2 linked regions of the Mytilus edulis genome follow. The protein of the gene in region 1 interacts with the protein of each later gene in a biochemical or structural test. Links are inferred from orthologs where the notes say so. Each region holds a gene or a part of one and is shown on either strand. Other genes may lie near its edges.

Evidence for each region.
Region 2: the proteins of ski oncogene-like (region 1) and mothers against decapentaplegic homolog 4-like form a complex in vitro, tested with the Homo sapiens proteins (3 studies listed by BioGRID and IntAct, with this or other methods). The link is inferred for Mytilus edulis from reciprocal best matches to the Homo sapiens genes SKI and SMAD4.

Annotation. Positions count from the first base shown.
Region 1 is NC_092356.1:29,701,145-29,710,023, reverse strand, and holds the start of ski oncogene-like, read right to left. Parts: upstream 4,211-8,879; 5' UTR 3,666-4,210; coding exon 2,790-3,665; intron 1-2,789. UniProt on the Homo sapiens protein: May play a role in terminal differentiation of skeletal muscle cells but not in the determination of cells to the myogenic lineage. Functions as a repressor of TGF-beta signaling.
Region 2 is NC_092354.1:20,862,719-20,871,851, reverse strand, and holds the start of mothers against decapentaplegic homolog 4-like, read left to right. Parts: upstream 1-5,368; 5' UTR 5,369-5,480; intron 5,481-7,295; 5' UTR 7,296-7,327; coding exon 7,328-7,564; intron 7,565-9,133. UniProt on the Homo sapiens protein: In muscle physiology, plays a central role in the balance between atrophy and hypertrophy. When recruited by MSTN, promotes atrophy response via phosphorylated SMAD2/4.

The sequences.
Region 1 (8,879 bases):
GATGAACATAATTAATTTAGATTATGTGTCTATTCAAGACAGGATATTTAGATGCCAAAAAAAATAGCCATAATCATAAAAATGCCAACAATTGAAGAATTTTATTGGGAAGCATTCTTGAATCAATCTTAGAGTCATTATCATGCTACATGTATAAACAGGATAAATGTAAAAGGGTATATCCTCCATTTACATTGTATCATGTGTTTCATTTACATTTTACATTAGGTCAAATTTCTGTAAAACGGTTAACCCTAAATTTTTTAAATTATGGATTGGTTTTGCCTAACACAACATGTTATTGTACACAGCAAACATATGCTGAATATATCTTTTATACATGAACATGTACTTTATACATTTACATGTACATATTTCTCAAGGCAACATTTGCTATATTTGTTATCATGAAAAAGGTGTATGATCGATCCGAGGTATATAATATATATATATGTAAAGAGAAGTACATTTTGTACATTACTTTGAAAGATGAAGAATTTCAGACCTATAGTTCATGGATCGTGTATTCAATTTTTAATGAAAGACATAAATTTCATACATGTAGATTTGTAAGTCACAGTTTTGTTTATTAGGCAATCCACAGGTGGAAAAAATAACTTTCGTGTGTATTCAAAAATAAATAAATCAATTTATCACAGATTCACAATCTTTTAATTAATAGAACCTTGAATACATTGTGTATTAAATATATACATAGTCCTAATCTATGATTATGTCATGTATGTGCAACATGAGCATTACCAAAGTACACAGTTCATTACAATGTTTGCTGTATATCATCATAGAAAAGTTACATAATACATAAGTCATTATACTTATATATAGTACAAAAAAAAGTATGTGTGTTTCATCCTTGAGATAACCTTGTACACTGACACTGTCACTATATATAGGGTATATAGGTACAAATTCTTTTTTATTTTTACATTTGTACTTTACAAAATTTAAGTATCATTCTGATACCTGTAATTTTGTAGTGACTGATCTACCATACATGTATTAAAGTGGCAATTATAATTTAAGGCCAAGGGTAGACATTTTGAGGCATAAAAATAATGCTTCAACAAGGAAACACATTCAAACCACAAATATTTTTTACTGTTGGTCTACATGTAATTTGTTTAAAAAAAATTAAAGTGGCAATTATGATTTAAGGCCAAGGGTAGACATTTTGAGGCATAAAAATAATGCTTCAATAAGGAAACACATTCAAACCACAAATATTTTTTAGTGTTGGTCTACATATAATTTGTTTAAAAAAAAATTAAAAAGTGTCAAAACATGTAAATATATTCAATCATATCGTAAATCAATGCCATACACCTACATGTACATGGAATCTGGGTCCGTTCGCGCCCATTCACGTTCGCACCCGATCACGTTCGCGCCCTTTCACTTTCGCACCCAACACGTTCGCGCCCAAGTTTTATTGGTATTGTGTTTGATAACTTTATAACCAAGTTTTGGCAAGTGTATTCATATTAGTATATTTGTTGTCATTGTCTCAAAATAAAGTGAGACAACGTGTTTTTTGTGTTGAATAAATCTTAATCTTGTTTTGCCGGATAGTGTATTGTTAAAATATTTTTAATCATTTAAATAAAGTGAGATTCTGACGACCGGGATTTTCGGGTGGAATAAATCTTAAATATTAATCAATTTTGGTTAGTGTATTGCTATAATTTTTTATTTAATTGTTTCAGATCAAAGGGACCAATCTGTTAAAAAAAATTATCTTTTGTGTTTTTCATTTAAAATTTTCAATGTTTTACTCATACGAAGCTAAATAATTGCATTATTTACACCAAGGCAATTTAAAACAACAATCATGATTTTCTAATTATTCAACTGGAACTTGATTTTAAATTGGGTGCGAACGGACCTTGGGTGCGAACGTGCGAGGTGCGAACATGTAGGATGCGAAAGTGTATTGGGCGCGAACGGACCTGATACCATGTACATGTAGCTTACTATCAAACATACATATTATCTTTAAATTTAAAATTTATCAATCTTCAAATAAATTCACATGTATTTAAATTTTATTTTAAGTTTTCTTTTCAACATTGATTTTTGAATAATTGTGATAAATATGAGACTTTTTGAGAGTAGAGTTTGTAAAACATGGGACCACAGTCTTTTTTATTAACAAGCCTACATGTACATATCCCACCATTAAAATTTTCGCTAAAAAGATACCAGGAAAACCATAAGCTATATCAACTCAAAGATGATTTTAAGGATTTTTGAGAAGACTGACTTGGTGTATTGGGAATTCTTTAGAATAGATGTATATGTACATTGTAAGTGCTTTTCAATTGTTCTTTTTGAAAAACACAAGTTTAACTAAAAAATATATCCGGGATCCAAAGAAAATATTACATGTAATTAAATCAAAAAATCTGCAACAGCTGAGACAGATGGTTTAAAACTACTAAACAAACAGTATGTTACTACAGTAGTAGTAGTTATAAATAATGTACATGTAGTTTTAAGAAATCAATGTTTACGACGTTTAGTGAAATTTAAACAGATTTGACAAAACTACTGTCAGATTTGGATTCCCCGTTTCATAAATAACGATTGACAGCATTCATGATAAACCTTTGAAAGTTTTGAGTCCACACACCTGAAGCACAATTTTTTGAGAATTTAAGTTGGATTATGTTGGCTTGAAGAGAAGAATTTTACATTTTACATTTTACGTAGGACTTGTGGTTAAGCGTAAAGACTAGATTGATCAGTATCTTAAAATTCAAATAACTAACCTGCTTTCGTTTATATTTCTTTGAAGTATCGAATCTTGACTTCATGTACTGCAATACTTCTTTCACTCGATCACGGTTTTCTTGATCTTTAGCCAACAATAAATAAGATCTCCAATGTGATGAATCAAATCCCCAATGACAAGTTCTGTTTTCCAGCGCTTTATGAGAATGACGAACAAATTCACTTGGTGAAAATGAGCCCATACAGTCAACACACTGAATACATTTGGCAATGGGTTCCACATACATCTCAGGACTAAAGATCCCTTTACATTTCCCGAAACATTCATGATAAACTTTAAAGCTGTCCCGTGTAGGGGGCTCAGAACATTTAGCAGGTGCCCTATGAAGTAGTGCATTGCACAATCTTTCAGCGTCAGTTTTTGTAAGAAGTCCACAACTCGGTGCCCCTAATGGAAGAATCCCTGTCATTTTTAATGTATGAAGCTGTTCAGGATTACACCGTGAACAAAAAATATGAAGTTCGTCACACACAGCATTTATTTGCTGTAAACTAAAATCCCTCAGAACCGTATTTAGAATCTGTGGTAAACACAACCTTTTTTCACCTCCAACTTCAAAACAAGCAATGGTTTCGGTTTCTAACAATGTATCCGTTTTTTCACTTTTAGTAGCATCCACGGGTGCAAATACTGGAAATTGTTGCACTGGGAAGGGCGGAGGTCCTCTTAGAGGGTCGTACTCCAAACCCTTTTCCGGAAGTTTTTTAAGTGCTTTACGGTATTCCTCAATGTCACTTGGTGAAAGAAATCCAGCGGGACCAGGGCCTTGTAAACTCCGCATGGCTGATGTTTGAAAGTTTTTGATAACCCTCTCTACATGAGGGTTAACAACTTGTGATCTAAGATGTTCCATTAAATAATTGTCACATTCGAAATAAAATTCCGTTTAACGTTCCTCTCCGTTACTTAGTTCAAGCAATACACACATACGTCTAACGTCTCCCCACTGTCGGCAGTTGATAACAAACTGAAATACTTGGCTGTTCCGTTAATCAGTCCTACTACTACGATTACGCGATAGTAGTTATAAAGTTCAATAAAGGTCGATATTATAAGGAACAACTGTAGAGAATAATTTCTTTATTTTATGATGTTTAACATCTGTCAATATTTTAAGGATAGTCGAAGCTTTTTAATATACAAAAACAATAGACATTGTTGATTATACATAACACGGTCTGCCGATCCGTTGACTTCCCACTTCAATGACTTGTATGCATATTTATATGCATATCTTGCGCTTAAAACTTGTTTTGCAACCAGATAATTAGAATACAGTTTAGTTTTCAATTTATTGATATATAACGGATTATATGAATGTTAATTATGAATCATCTCAAGATGAAATAAAGGTGTATTAAAATGGTCATTGATCGTTCGACCGTCTGGCGCTTTGGTAAATTGACATTAAAGTCGTCTCGACTATATGTCCGCGCTGACGTCATACGTCTGCAGAATCAACTATAGTCTGTTTCAAAATAGAGATATTGGAAATTCCGCGACTGTTGAATAATCAATGCTACTGATTACTTCTATAGTTTTAATGGTTTACTTTATTAAGTTTTCACCAACAGAAAAGTTTATGGGATTTTTTCAACAAGTTTGAACTAAAATTGTTTGTTTTTAGAATTGAACTTAAGTATCAATATGATTTTTTTAGAAATTGAAATTAAGTATCAATATGATTAAAATTAACACAACATTATACTGACAAATGGGATAACATTTTCTAATTTTTTTTTAATAAGACAATTTTTTTCTTTTAGCTTTTTGATAACATACAAAAACCAAGATTGAAAATCAATGTTGAACATTTTTTTTTCTTTTTTTTTTTTCGAAATATACAATGCCATCAAAAGTGCTATTTTTTTCACAGCCATTCTGTTTATATTTTTTCCTTCAATTTTTTTCTTTATTAAATAACACGGAATAAAATCATCTTACATCCAACTCCCCCCCCCCCCCCCCCTTTTCCCCCCGTATAAAAAAAATGTACAGGCGTTTGGGATCGATCCCCCTTTTTTATATATTTTTTTGTCCTAGAGTGACGTTAAATAAATAAACTACTTTTATTGCTCTTATTGGAATATGGTATGGATAAGAGAATGAACACATTGGATCTGTGAAAATCATATAGAAATTTAAAAACGTTTACTTGAATTTATGTTTTAAAACAGTTTAAAAAAACGAGGACATTCCCACTGCCGCTTGTGCCGTTGAGGACCATATACTTGTGTTTTCTATCTTATGTATTTTGTTATTCTTTGTTTTTGGGTTGCTGTCTCGTATAACCAGCATATAGTCTTTTTATTCGTATATTTATTAGAGATATCATGTATTTTACGGATCATTTTAATAATATTGACATGTTTTTAAACACTGCATGTGTGTATACATTTTGTTGCCTGGTCGTGTTTCTACAGCAGATGTGAGAGGTTATGTCCCTTTCTAAAGATGCGGTAATTTTGTAACATGTGTAAAAACTATCTCATTTTGAATTTCTGAATTGAAATACCGTCGAAACAGATGTTTTTTGTTCCTCTCGAGGTTCTATCCGTTATAGACACGAGGAGACGTGTTTTTAATATGCCTCTAAAGTACGGTATATTAATAAGCAAGCTAGTTTGTACTGACGTCACCGTTGAATATAATTTTGACACGTTATGGCATATATTAGGGTTTTTTTGGGGGGTAAAAAACATAATCATGCTTCAAACCGTCGATTACGAATATAAGATTTCGACTTCATGGCTTAATTTTGAATGAAGAACATTTATCTGGATAGATATTATTGATTGGTGGATCCAGAAAGAAGGAGGGGAAGGGGTCCTTTTTCATATTTTTTTTTTAATAACGTGATATTTTATGGTGTTTAAAACCTGTTTATTTTTCAAAATGTCACGATCCGCGCATGTCATAAGACGTATGCCCATAATTAAAAGAAAAAAGAGGAGCTTTAAGATGCTTTAATGTTGTGCTTCTAGAATCTTGATTTGCTTTACATGTCACATTGATCATATTATATGGGTATATGAAAAGACAATATAATTGACTTGGGTACTCAAGTTATTAAATGCTGCTCCTATAACCATTGTCATTTTTATTTTTTTTTATTAATTTTAACTTTTTGTGTAGCGTTTAGAAATGTTGTATGAAAAAAGGGACACTTGGGAAATAGCACCCCTTCACTGTGTTTGTTGAATACTCGTACGAGGAAGACACACTCCTAACAGGTTTGATGAATTATCATCATACAATTAACTGAAAGCACCGGCTCGGTGGTCTCCTTGTACCTAGCAAGTTCGCCTTTAGGTACATTGATTCGGTCAACCATAAACTTAAGAATTGTTATATTCTGCTCATCCACTAAGCATGTGTCATTTAAGAGCAAGATTCTTGCCAAAAAGCTGTTGAAAAAATGTCCAGGTGGATTAATTTGTCTAATGTGAACGAGCACATTAACAATCCAACTCATTTTATTATTCTTGTTAAAAGTTGAGTTTATATCGCATTGGTCTTTCATGCATTATTTTGTTCACAAATCAGGCCGTTAGTTTTCTCGTTTGAATTGTTTTACTATTGTTATTTTGGGACCTTTTATCGCTGACAATGTTTTGTTCATTGTTGAAGGCCGAACGATGACCTATAGTTGTGAAACTGTATGTAATTTGGTCTCTTGTTGAGACTTTTCTCATTGACGATCATACCACAGTTTCATATTTTAATATTTGTATTCAAATCATCGCATTAACATGCATGTTCCTGTCCTCAATTTGCATTTAATTTGCCACTGGACATTAACTATCCATCTATCATCATCATCATCTACAATTGAAGTAAATCGGCAGTATTTATGAGAGGCTTTAAGTGTTTAAAATCGTCAGCCCATCTATTGAAGAAGATCTGAACAGTGTTAACCAAATATTTGACAAACAGTGTAAAATAAAAGACAAGAGAAATTAAGAAATGTAAAATTAAAAAGATTAGGGAATAATGGTGTGCTAAAATATTAAGAATATCGAGAATAATGGACAATCTAATTAAAGAAAGTAGAGAAAAATTGGTCTAAAAAATTAAAGAATATAGAAAAAATGCTCTAAAAAAAAATAAAGCATATAGAAATAAATGGTATCAAAAATTAAAGAATATAGATATGAAGGACCCCATTCAGACCCACATCTAATGAAAAAGCTACCCATCATTTTAACTGTATTATTTAGTTTATCACGACGTTTTTTTTCATTAGTTTAAAAAAAAAAATGTAAAAACTATAATTTTAAGTTCTTCTGGTATATAAGGAAGAAGATCGACGGAAATATAAAAACAGATCGTCAAATAGATTTGTACTGCGCAGTTAGTACCCATAGGAATTCGGATATTTTGATGACATATATTATTCCCATAACTAACAAACATACTGTCAAGCAATACATTTTAAGCCTTGATCATGTCTGCGGATTTCCAAGAACAATGCATTTTATTTCTTTTATGTCTAAAGAAATTATAACAACGGATGTATTCAAGACCTGCTTCCTTCCTCCAATTAGTTTACCAATATTATTTTTGACCAGGTTGTGAGGAATAGTGGTGCATACGAACCTATGAAAAACTAATAATGCTTAGCTGGGAAAAAAATTACTGAGAAATAGCTTCGAAAACCCACGTCCTACTAAGATTTGAATTAGATTATTATTTTTTTTTCAAAATTCTTTCATTGATGGTAAATAGTAAGGTTTTGGAAAAAATGATTCGGATTTATATACCAAATTAGTTTTGTGAAGGTATCGAAAACATGCTTGGTTGATAGATTGTTTATAAGGTCATAGGCGGATCTAGGGGTTGATTTAATAGGGAATCCCTGAAGAATGACTTTGGGATCCGCCACTGAAAGTGATTCAGATCAGCTTAACCATTCTTGTCTTTATCATGGCTGCCAGTTTTTAGTTGGCAGAGGAAGCTGGAGTACCAGGCCTAGAGATCCGCCGATTTTATTCTCTCCAAAAAGGACATTATTTGCATGTTAAACCGACTTTCTCTCGGCCTTAAAGTGATGATTAGGCTGCTTTTAAAAAAAAAAGTTTTCTCTATTGTCCGTTGTGCGCTATTTTCCTTCTTGTAATATAAACCCCTATCTAATGTTGAAGACAGTATATTGACATGAAGATTTCTTATGAATTTTGTCGAAAAAATAACAAGAAACGTTGTCTCTCAGATTTTTTTTGTTTCAGCGTAGTTCTGGGAAACGATTGATTTCAGATTTTCAGGAACATACTTTTTTCCAGATGGAACGATTTTCTAGTCATCGGACCACCTGTAGACTATAACGTTTATTTGTGTATTTCAATGTTAATCAATTAACACCGTACGACACAGCTGAGACAACAAGTCGAATTGTCACCTGGAAGGGTCTGGTCAAGTGGTCAAATCCAGTCTTCGCATGATAGTGCGTCACAGGAATATACTGATTTATTTAAGAACTGTGTTTTGCGTCAGAAATTCAACTTTTACTAATTCGTAGATAGTTTTCAATGTTTTTTAATTAACACCATACGACACAGGGGCGATGGCAAATTCGAATTATCATATAGCATGATCACCAACTAGTCAAATCCAGTCTTCATATGCCAGTGATTCGCTGCAGTTAGTATTGGTTTATTTCGGAACCAAGCTTTGTATCAGAACCTCGGTTTTAACGCACGTCTGGCGTATTAAATTATAATCCTGGTACCTTTGATAACTATTAATTTGTAAATAAAAATCTATTTTCAGAACTTTTTTGTTTTATTTTGATAATTTTTGAAAAAGAGATAGTACAATGTAAAAGTTATTAACACCTTCACAGAGGATTTCAGATTTCATAAGGAAATATCCTTTATCAGTATTTTACATAAAATGAGCCGTCAGGCAAACATAGGCGGATCCAAGAGGGGGGTGCTTTCGTTGTAAAAAAAATGGTTGATTATATAGGGAATCACTGAAGCATAACTGGAGCGCCCCCCTCTTTGGGTCAGTCAGCGCCCTCTTACAAAAAGTTCTGGATCCGCCACTGGGTTATGGCGCACTGATC
Region 2 (9,133 bases), on another chromosome or scaffold:
GATCCTCATACAAGACAAGACTATGGCAGTTTTACGCTTTGGGGATTGTGTTCTTTTATTTCCTTACTTTGTATGTAGGACAATGTTTAATGTTTATGTTTAGTCGAGTTCATGATCAACGGTCTAATAATTTTCAGCTGATACAATCTCATTATCTGGTCTCCTTACAAAATTAAACCAGACCGAAACCTCTAAAAAAGAAACCCTTCACGGAGAGATAAAATCCGCATTTTCTGTTCATTTTCAAACTGTTTAAAAATTTATTACTGAGCATTTCAACGGCGGATATGAGGTTTTGAATGGGGTTAAATGATTAAAGAATAATGCCCTTAGAAAATGAAGATTAGAGAATAACGGGCAAAAAATGAAGATTAGAGAAATGCGTGGACTAATTTTTTTAAAATTAGAGAAAAAGGGGTTAATTTTTTGAAGATAAGAGAAAAAAGGGGTGAAAATTAAATGTTTACAGAATAACAGACCCCCCCCCCCCCCCATCCAGACAATCGGATATGGTAATCTAAAGGTGTTGTACGAAGTTGAAGTGCATGTTTCTGGCTGTCATCTTTATATAATGTCCCACAAAGGCAAGAATAACAAATAGAAACTAGAATTGCCATTGCAATAGAGGCCGGATGTCACCCTGGTCTGCAAATTGACACTTAACAGCAGCCATTTCGAAATTGTCCATCAGTGAATGCAGATTTTTGCATGACAACAGATATTTCTGTTTTAAATTCCAATGAATTTGGAGCATTTTGATATTTTTTGTGTTTTTGCTGTTTCCATGGTAACGGCCGCCATTTTAAAAATTCCAAAGTCAAACTACTGCTGCATATTGTTCTCTCTGCACGTCGTGTAGCTGGAATATATATACACACATGTACATAAAATGAGAGACAAAGGATACCAAAGGGACATGCATTCATTCCACATTGCTAAAAAGAAAGAAAAACATACAATACACAAAACACAACATATTAAACTAACTGAGACTGAGTAACAGGAACCACATCAAAAACTGTCTTGTTGCTCATGTTAGTACAAAACCGCTAATTATTAAGTCTGCATCGGTAGATCACATAGAACACTGATATAGCAGTCTCAGGGTGCACAAACTGATATTTGAAGCAACGATCATCAAAGTCCCAATGCAAGTATTGCTAAGCGCTGTCATACCTTCATGACATGTGGTATTTTCCTCACAAATAAGCCTGACATGAATTGCTTGGTTTGAATTCCTGATAACATAACTTGTGGATAAGTGTACTGATTTTATGACATCGTACCACAATTAAGGTTCCATACCACAAAAGGAAGATCGGCATTGATGATTTTCTTGACTGTTTAGGGATTAAGGTCCAAAGCGGGTCCACAAAAAAATTAAAACAAACATAACTCTTGTTTAAGGACAATAACTTGTGTAATGAAAGCAAATAAGAAACCCGTCGGCCCGATTTATAATACGTCGATATATATATATGGCATGCAGAAATCAAACGCAAACAGTGAATTACTGCCCCTGACTTTAGAGAGGCAAAAATAGAATGCAGCTGGATACAACAAAATTCGTTTTGTGTTCATGGTTGTGTTTCGTGATTTATGATCTCTACCGTGTCAAAACCTATGCAACTGTTTTGTTTTTACAGTTTACTCTGATGTTGTGTTTCCACACAATTGTTAACTGTCCAAGGATAAGGACCGGGTGCCAGGGTCCTCCACCATATTACGTACATGAGGGTACATATGTTTACCTCCCCATGCCCGCTACAGTTATATCTGCTTAGAGCAATAAAAACACATATATTGCCATGGCACGTTTACTTCAAAGAGACAGATTACATCACATGATAAATATGCATCATTATACAAAGGTACACAACTCTCACGTTTAAACTACAAAACACATACGACCATACATATACTTGATAACAAGGGTTAGTATAAGCTTAATGAACATGCAGTATGGGGTTTGTTCATCGTTTCAGGCGGTAGTAGTGTGACCTATAGCTATTGTTGCGTAGATCAACGTCAAGTTTGATTCTGGTGTTGTTGTTTTTTTAATTTGGAAAAATCCTGATTATTTGAACACGTGCAATCGGATATATAGTTATCAAAGGTACCAGGATTATAATTTAGTACGCCAGACGCGCGTTTCGTCTACATAAGACTCATCAGTGACGATCATATCAAAATATTTAAAAAGCCAAACAAGTACAAAGTTGAAGAGCATTGAAGATCCAAAATTCCAAAAAGTTGTGCCAAATACGGTTAAGGTAATTTATGCCTGGGATGAGAAAATCCTTAGTTTTTCGAAAAATTCAAAGATTTGTAATCAGGAAAAACACTCTTATCTTCATTTCTTTAGTCTTGTAATTTTTATGTAATTTTTCTATATTCTAATACACATTGACCATTTTTCTCTACTCTTTATATTATTACACTTTTTTCATTTCTTTATTTTTTGGCCCCTTTTTTCTCTTTTCCTAATATCTTGGTCCATGATTTTTTTCTGTAGATTTTGCCAGCCATTATCCGCTATCCTGTTAACCCATGTAGACTTTCATATATTTTCAACGTTTTTTTTTTTAACGAGATTTATTTTGTCACGTGCAAAGATTCATGGGATTAATCGGATGTGTGATAAAAAATCTGCTAAATGTGCGAAAATATCATTTATTCAGATATCAGTACTTCCCTATCAATTTTTAAACTATTGCTCTTGAAGAGGAACAATGAGATTGGATTTGAATTTTACATTCTTGTACTGAGTAATTGAATGGCTGCGGTAACAGACTGGCTTTAATTTGGTAAGGCTTTATTAAAAATATACATTATACATTGTAGTATAATATAGATATGTCTATGTACTCGTACGTCATGAAAGGTCATGTATACCAAAGTAGGGCTTGATCAAATGAATTTGCGACACTTTGGAACATTATATAAACCATATATATCATGTATATAGCCTTAATGAAGACTTTTTGAAAGTATTTATATTATATATACTTGCGGATGCATATCCTGGACTCAGAAAATAGTGTGTGTGTGGGGGGGGGGGGAGGGGGTCGTAAAGCAGGCAATTTTAGAAGAAGGACATGTAAATATGTAAATGGCCTATGCATTAACCTCATATGTAGCCGGCTCCATAAGTAGTGGGCTACATTATCACATCCCATACAGAGACGGATTTAGGGGGAGGGCAGGGGAACCCCCCTTTTTTGAGAAAATGTTTGGTTGCTTATATAGGGAATCACTGAAGCGTGACTGGAGCGGCCCCCCCTCTTAGGCAGTCAGTGGGCCCCCACTTATAAATATTTCTGGATCCGCCACTGCCCTTAATCCGCTTGAAAATTATATTATACGAGTTTCTTATACAGTTTGTTCCTAATTTTGTCATTTTTTTTTAATTTAAGGGAGACGGATTTTTTCTTGTTTTCGAATGCCACTGCCCAGTATCTCTATTTTGTATAATTATATTTCGTGCAGTTTATGAAAAATAAAATATTGTTTAAACTAAATCCGCTTATAATTTACTAAAAACGACTAGCAAGAATAAATAGTACCTCCTTTTCAACCATGGTCGATGGTGGTTATGATTTGCCTTCACATCCCACCTTACTATTTTTTCCGTTAATATATCAATTAACGGGCGGCGGACTCTGAATATATGATAGTTCATACTATCGTTACTACAATCCCGTACCCTTTTCAAGAAGGTCACCCTCCGTATTAATTCTTACTGTGTTTGTATTAACATGAGCAACACGACGGCTGCCACATGTGGAATAGGATCTGCTAAATTACCCTTCCGGAGAAGCTGAGATCACCTAAGTTTTGGTTGGGTTCGTGTTGCTAGATGCGTTATAGTTCTCTATGTTGTGTTTTGTTTTCTATTGTTTGTCTTCTGTTCTCTTTGTCGAGCCTTCGACAACTGTCGAAAAAGCGAAACATGAAGCGAACCTACATTCCGTCGTCGGCGTTGTCGTCGTCGAGTCACATATTCACGGTGTGCATGGTTAGCGGTTTTTGAAATTTTAATAACTTTCTTAAACTATCCTGGATTTCTACCGAACTTGTGGATAGACTTTGTTAATATTCATAACACAGTATCCAAAAGTAAATTCTGTAAAAAAAATCATCCTATTTTGAATTCCGTATTTTACTTATAGATAGACTTAGTTTTTCTGCCAGGAAACATTACATTCACTCTGTGGTTAATGTTTTTAAAATTTTAATACTTTCTTAAACTATCCTGGATTTGTACCAAACTTGAACAGAAACTTGTTTATGATCAAATGCTAGTATCTAGAAGGAAATTTGGTTAAAATTTTGTTCTTGTTAAAAATGTTTTTCCATACTTTACTTAAAAATGGACTTAGTTTTTCTTCCATTTTACATTACATAGTCTGCAGTTAAAGTTTTAAAAACATTTATTAGATTCACAAACTATATATATATAGATTTCCTTGATTTTTACCAAACTTGAACAGAACTCTTACAATTAAAAGATAGACTAAAATATCTAGAGGAAAACAGTTTTTCGAATTTTTTGTTGAACTTGCGACTACCAGCAAAAGTAGGCGAGACACTGGGTTCGACGGAACCCTTAAAAATTAGAAAATTAGTTAAGGGTTAAATTGAAGTTCCTATTAATACAACGATTCAATAAGGTCGAATTATCGAGTTATACTTGCAAGTGAATCAGTCAATATTTCTTTAGTGATTGAACAAAACTGAAAAAAAATCACATATTTTAGTGTTAATTGTTTTTTTTAATACTATCATCGTATATATCATGTATCTTATTATTTTGCCAATTTGAACCATACTGGTAGAAGCGAAATATTATTTCACTATTTAACTTTCATTAGTGATTGAACAAAACTGAAAAAAATCACATATTTTAGTGTTAATTGTTTTTTTTAATACTATCATCGTATATATCATGTATATATCGTAGCAAGTGCATGCTCCTTTAAGATCCTTTAACTGTTTAATGTCAGTTTGGTATATTTTATGACTTTATTCTTTATACTTTTGCTTTTAATATTGCAATGCTATTTTTGTATTGTGTATGATAAATGACTTTAAAAATATTTGTACATGTTTAACTTTTGGTTTGAACCATTGGAGGAATTGATTATAAATATAAAAAAAATAATGGCCCCCTTTCTCTCTGCAATGTGCCCCTTCGAATAAACAATTTAAAACGGAAGTAAACTTAACGACATCAGCGAATATTTGTAAATGGTTTGGTTTGAATAATTCGAGGAAGCGATTAAAAATATACGATGAAAATGATGCCCCCCATTTCCCCTGCAAGGTGCCCCTTCAAATAACAACAAATTAAAACGGAAGTAAACTTAACGACATCAGCGCAGGCGTATTAGTTTATTTTGATTTTACTCGCGCCATGAAAAAATAAATAAATTAAGCATGAATTAAAAATGATGACTTAACAATTGATCGTTGCTCGGGTAAGTAATCAATAATAACCTGATGTTAATGAGGAGATAATTTCCACACCTGAAGTTTCATTGATTAAGTAAAATGGAGCCGGCAAATGGCCTCCAGAAGCTGGCACCAGTCTGTCTGGCTATGACATAGTATGCTGGGAGTGGGGACATGATTAACATACGAGGCCATATTTTTTTTTATTTTTTAATTTTTGTATTAAGTCTGCTGTTCTTTGTTCTTACTTGTTCAGGTGTAAACAAAGCATGCACATGGCATAGATTTGATGCATAGTTTATTTGGAAATTATTATCTGCTTGTTGATTATTCTGAAAGTATAAATAAAGAATTGTATAAAAAAATAAATTAATTAAAATAAATATTGATGGATTCAAAGGAATAAAAATTTATTAAAAAAATATTTGAGGAACAAGTGGTAATTGAAAAGAAATATGAATTATCAAAAATAAACAAACATGTTTTAAACTTTTAAAAGTTTTATTGTTATTTAATTATATGTCTGTATTTTTCTGTTACATGTAAAACCAATTGATAAGACAGTAACCCTTTACAGTCATGATACTTAGTACCATCTTGTAGGACCGAGTGCGGAAGAAATCTTTTTACCCAAGAACGATACCAGACTTCATTGCCCTACCTCATACTGCCACCAATGCAGGTAGTCTTGAATGCTTCAAGACTTCCCTACATAAGATGAACTAGAACAAATCCAAGATGTTTTTAAATTCACTGTATATATGATGTACATGTATCATGTGTATAGCAAAAATTCAAATCAACTAATACTTATTTCTTGTCTAAATTTTAAATGTGCATCCAAAAGTGGCAAAATAATTAACTTATTGATGGTAGCAGCGTATTTGTAGAAGTAGTGGACAACTTTTAAATGCATGAGATTTCTGACATGCTTCTGCTATCCCAGTGTTATGGACCAATAACTCTAGAGGTCCTTTCTATATTTTATCGTTGGCTTCAATCTACATGTATAATACACCTTAAATATTGCTCAGGTTATGAAATTAGCAGCAATGGCCCCTAAAATTTGGTTTGGGCTACTCAAATTTCGGCTTTTCTTATATATGACTATCTATGTTGGCTACAACATTTAAGCTGTGGACTATCATTGCCAAAGTCTTTAAGTTTTAACCCTGTAATGCTACATGTATTTGTCCACCAATACCAAACATCACAAAAGTTCCATAAAAATTTTGACATCACAATTATACCTGTAGGTGACCATAGTGACCATACTGCTTTCAACACTAGGTAAACCCATACCATATTCTATCATGAAAGCCCTGAAATGACAACTGTAAAACAATTCAAATAAGAAAACTAACAGCCTGATTTATATACACAAAATAATGAACGAAAAACAATAAAAAAACAAATGTGATATTTGTGAGGCATAAATTTAAAACAAATGACAGCTTCTGATTTTCTTTTATAACTTTCAGACTAAGGAACATCGATAAACCCCATGGGGTCCTAGGCTCCAACATCAGCTGATGCCTGTTTTAGTATTGTTCACAGCCGAATGTGCCATACATGAATAGAGCTTATGTTTGTCCCTTTGAATAATAAATATACTGCCTCTTGGTAAAGCTTTTTCATTTATTATTTATAATAATTCTCTTAAAATCAGAGCCAGTGTACTGTTATCTTGCTAAGAAATCAGTTGAAAAAAATATTTGCCTTTCTTTGGTACAAAAATGTTCCTACATTGTACCCTATTTTTTTTCAGCATTAAATTCATGCCTAAAAATCATGTAGAGTTAGAAAAATTACCAAATCTAACTTTCTTTTATAACTTTCAGACTAAGGAACATAGTTAAACCCCATTACCACCATGGGGTCCCAGGCTCCAACATCAGCCGATGCCTGTTTAAGTATTGTTCACAGCCTAATGTGCCATAGGCAAGGAGGAGAGAGTGAAAGCTTTGCCAAACGGGCCATTGAAAGCTTGGTGAAAAAACTGAAAGAGAAAAGGGATGAATTGGACAGTTTGATCACAGCTATTACAACCAATGGTGCACATCCTTCTAAATGTGTGACAATCCAGCGGACATTAGATGGGAGACTTCAGGTATAAAATTTGTAAACATACATTTGTACATATACATGTACATGAAAAAGGTTATTTATGTATTATTGTCATTTTGTTTATTTTCTTTAGTTACATCTTCTGACATCAGACTTGAACTTCTCTTGAACTGAATTTTAATGTGTGTATTTTTATGTGTTTACTTTTCTGCATTGGCTAGAGGTATAAGGGGAGGGTTAAGATCTCATAAACATGTTTAACCCCACCACATTTTTGCGCCTGTCCCAAGTCAGGAGCCTCTGGCCTTTGTTAGTCTTGTATTATTTTTATGCAGTTAAGCTGCATTATGCGAGCACCCTAGATTTGTGTTCTACCCAATAAATGCTGAAATACTTGCCATTGTCATTATCTAGCTTGCTACTAGTACTATGTTATATATAACTAATTGAACACTTTTTTAATACTTTTTATTCTGGATTACAAAAAATATGACTAGAAAAACCTTAAATGATCGTCGATTTATCTAAAAGTTTTGAAGTTACACATAGGAAGTAGTGCTTATCAAGAATCCTTGTGTAGTTCATTATGACTTGTGCTTTTGGCCAGATGTCAAAGAACAATTGTATGAAATATTTAATCGCCGAAAATATCTTAAGACAAGCAGTTTAGATTTCCCAAATGGCAAAAGTCGTAGGAATATTGTTTGTCATCAATACGTCAGTAGTCTATTATATAATAAGTTCAACTGTTCGTGCTGTTTGCGGCAATTTCAAATTAGAAAAAGAAATTTTCGTATCTTTTTAATTTGGAGGCAGGTGTGCAAATTAGCGGTGGTCCGAGGTCCGCGACCTTCCACTTTTGCAAGCGGAATTTCGACTAGGATAGTTAGTTTCTAGGTACGCCCGACGTAGTCGCCTTCCACTTGAAAGAAAATAAGAATTAACTTTGCAAACCTTTTCACCATGTTCACCAGTCTCCAATTGAACGAGCTAAAAACTTATTTTTGTCATTATTCATAACAGCGATGTTCATTTTGTTCAACCGCTAGATTTATACAGAAAATCGCCGACAAATATTGTATAAATTCGAGTAAAATCGTATCTGATTGACGAAAACAACATTGTAAACACATAACAATGGCGGCCGTGAAGACAAAATTTTACAATATCGGATCCGATTCCGGAAGTGGATAAGGGTAATTCCGGGTTTGGCGATCAATTACAAAATAAATCCAAACAGGTGAAAAAATACATCTATGCATGGTAAATGAATATAAACACTTGAATTGTAAATCAAAAGATATATGTAAAAGAAAGAAAAAGCACCTGGGAATAGTATATCTAAGAATATACATGTTCATGTTCACAGTCTAAATCAGTCATAAATGATGATAATGCATGTGAGATGCTTTTTTAAAAAGTGTAAACATATTACTGCAATTTCGAAGGATTATTTTTTTCCCTCAATTTTGAAGGGTCAATTAAAGTAGCTGAAAGTTTCTTTCTTTATTTTCACAAATAATGCAACTATATTATATATACCTGAATGTAAGTAAATCATAAGATATATAGGTGGCATCCTTTGGGCCACTCTACCCCTTCCTGTTTAATA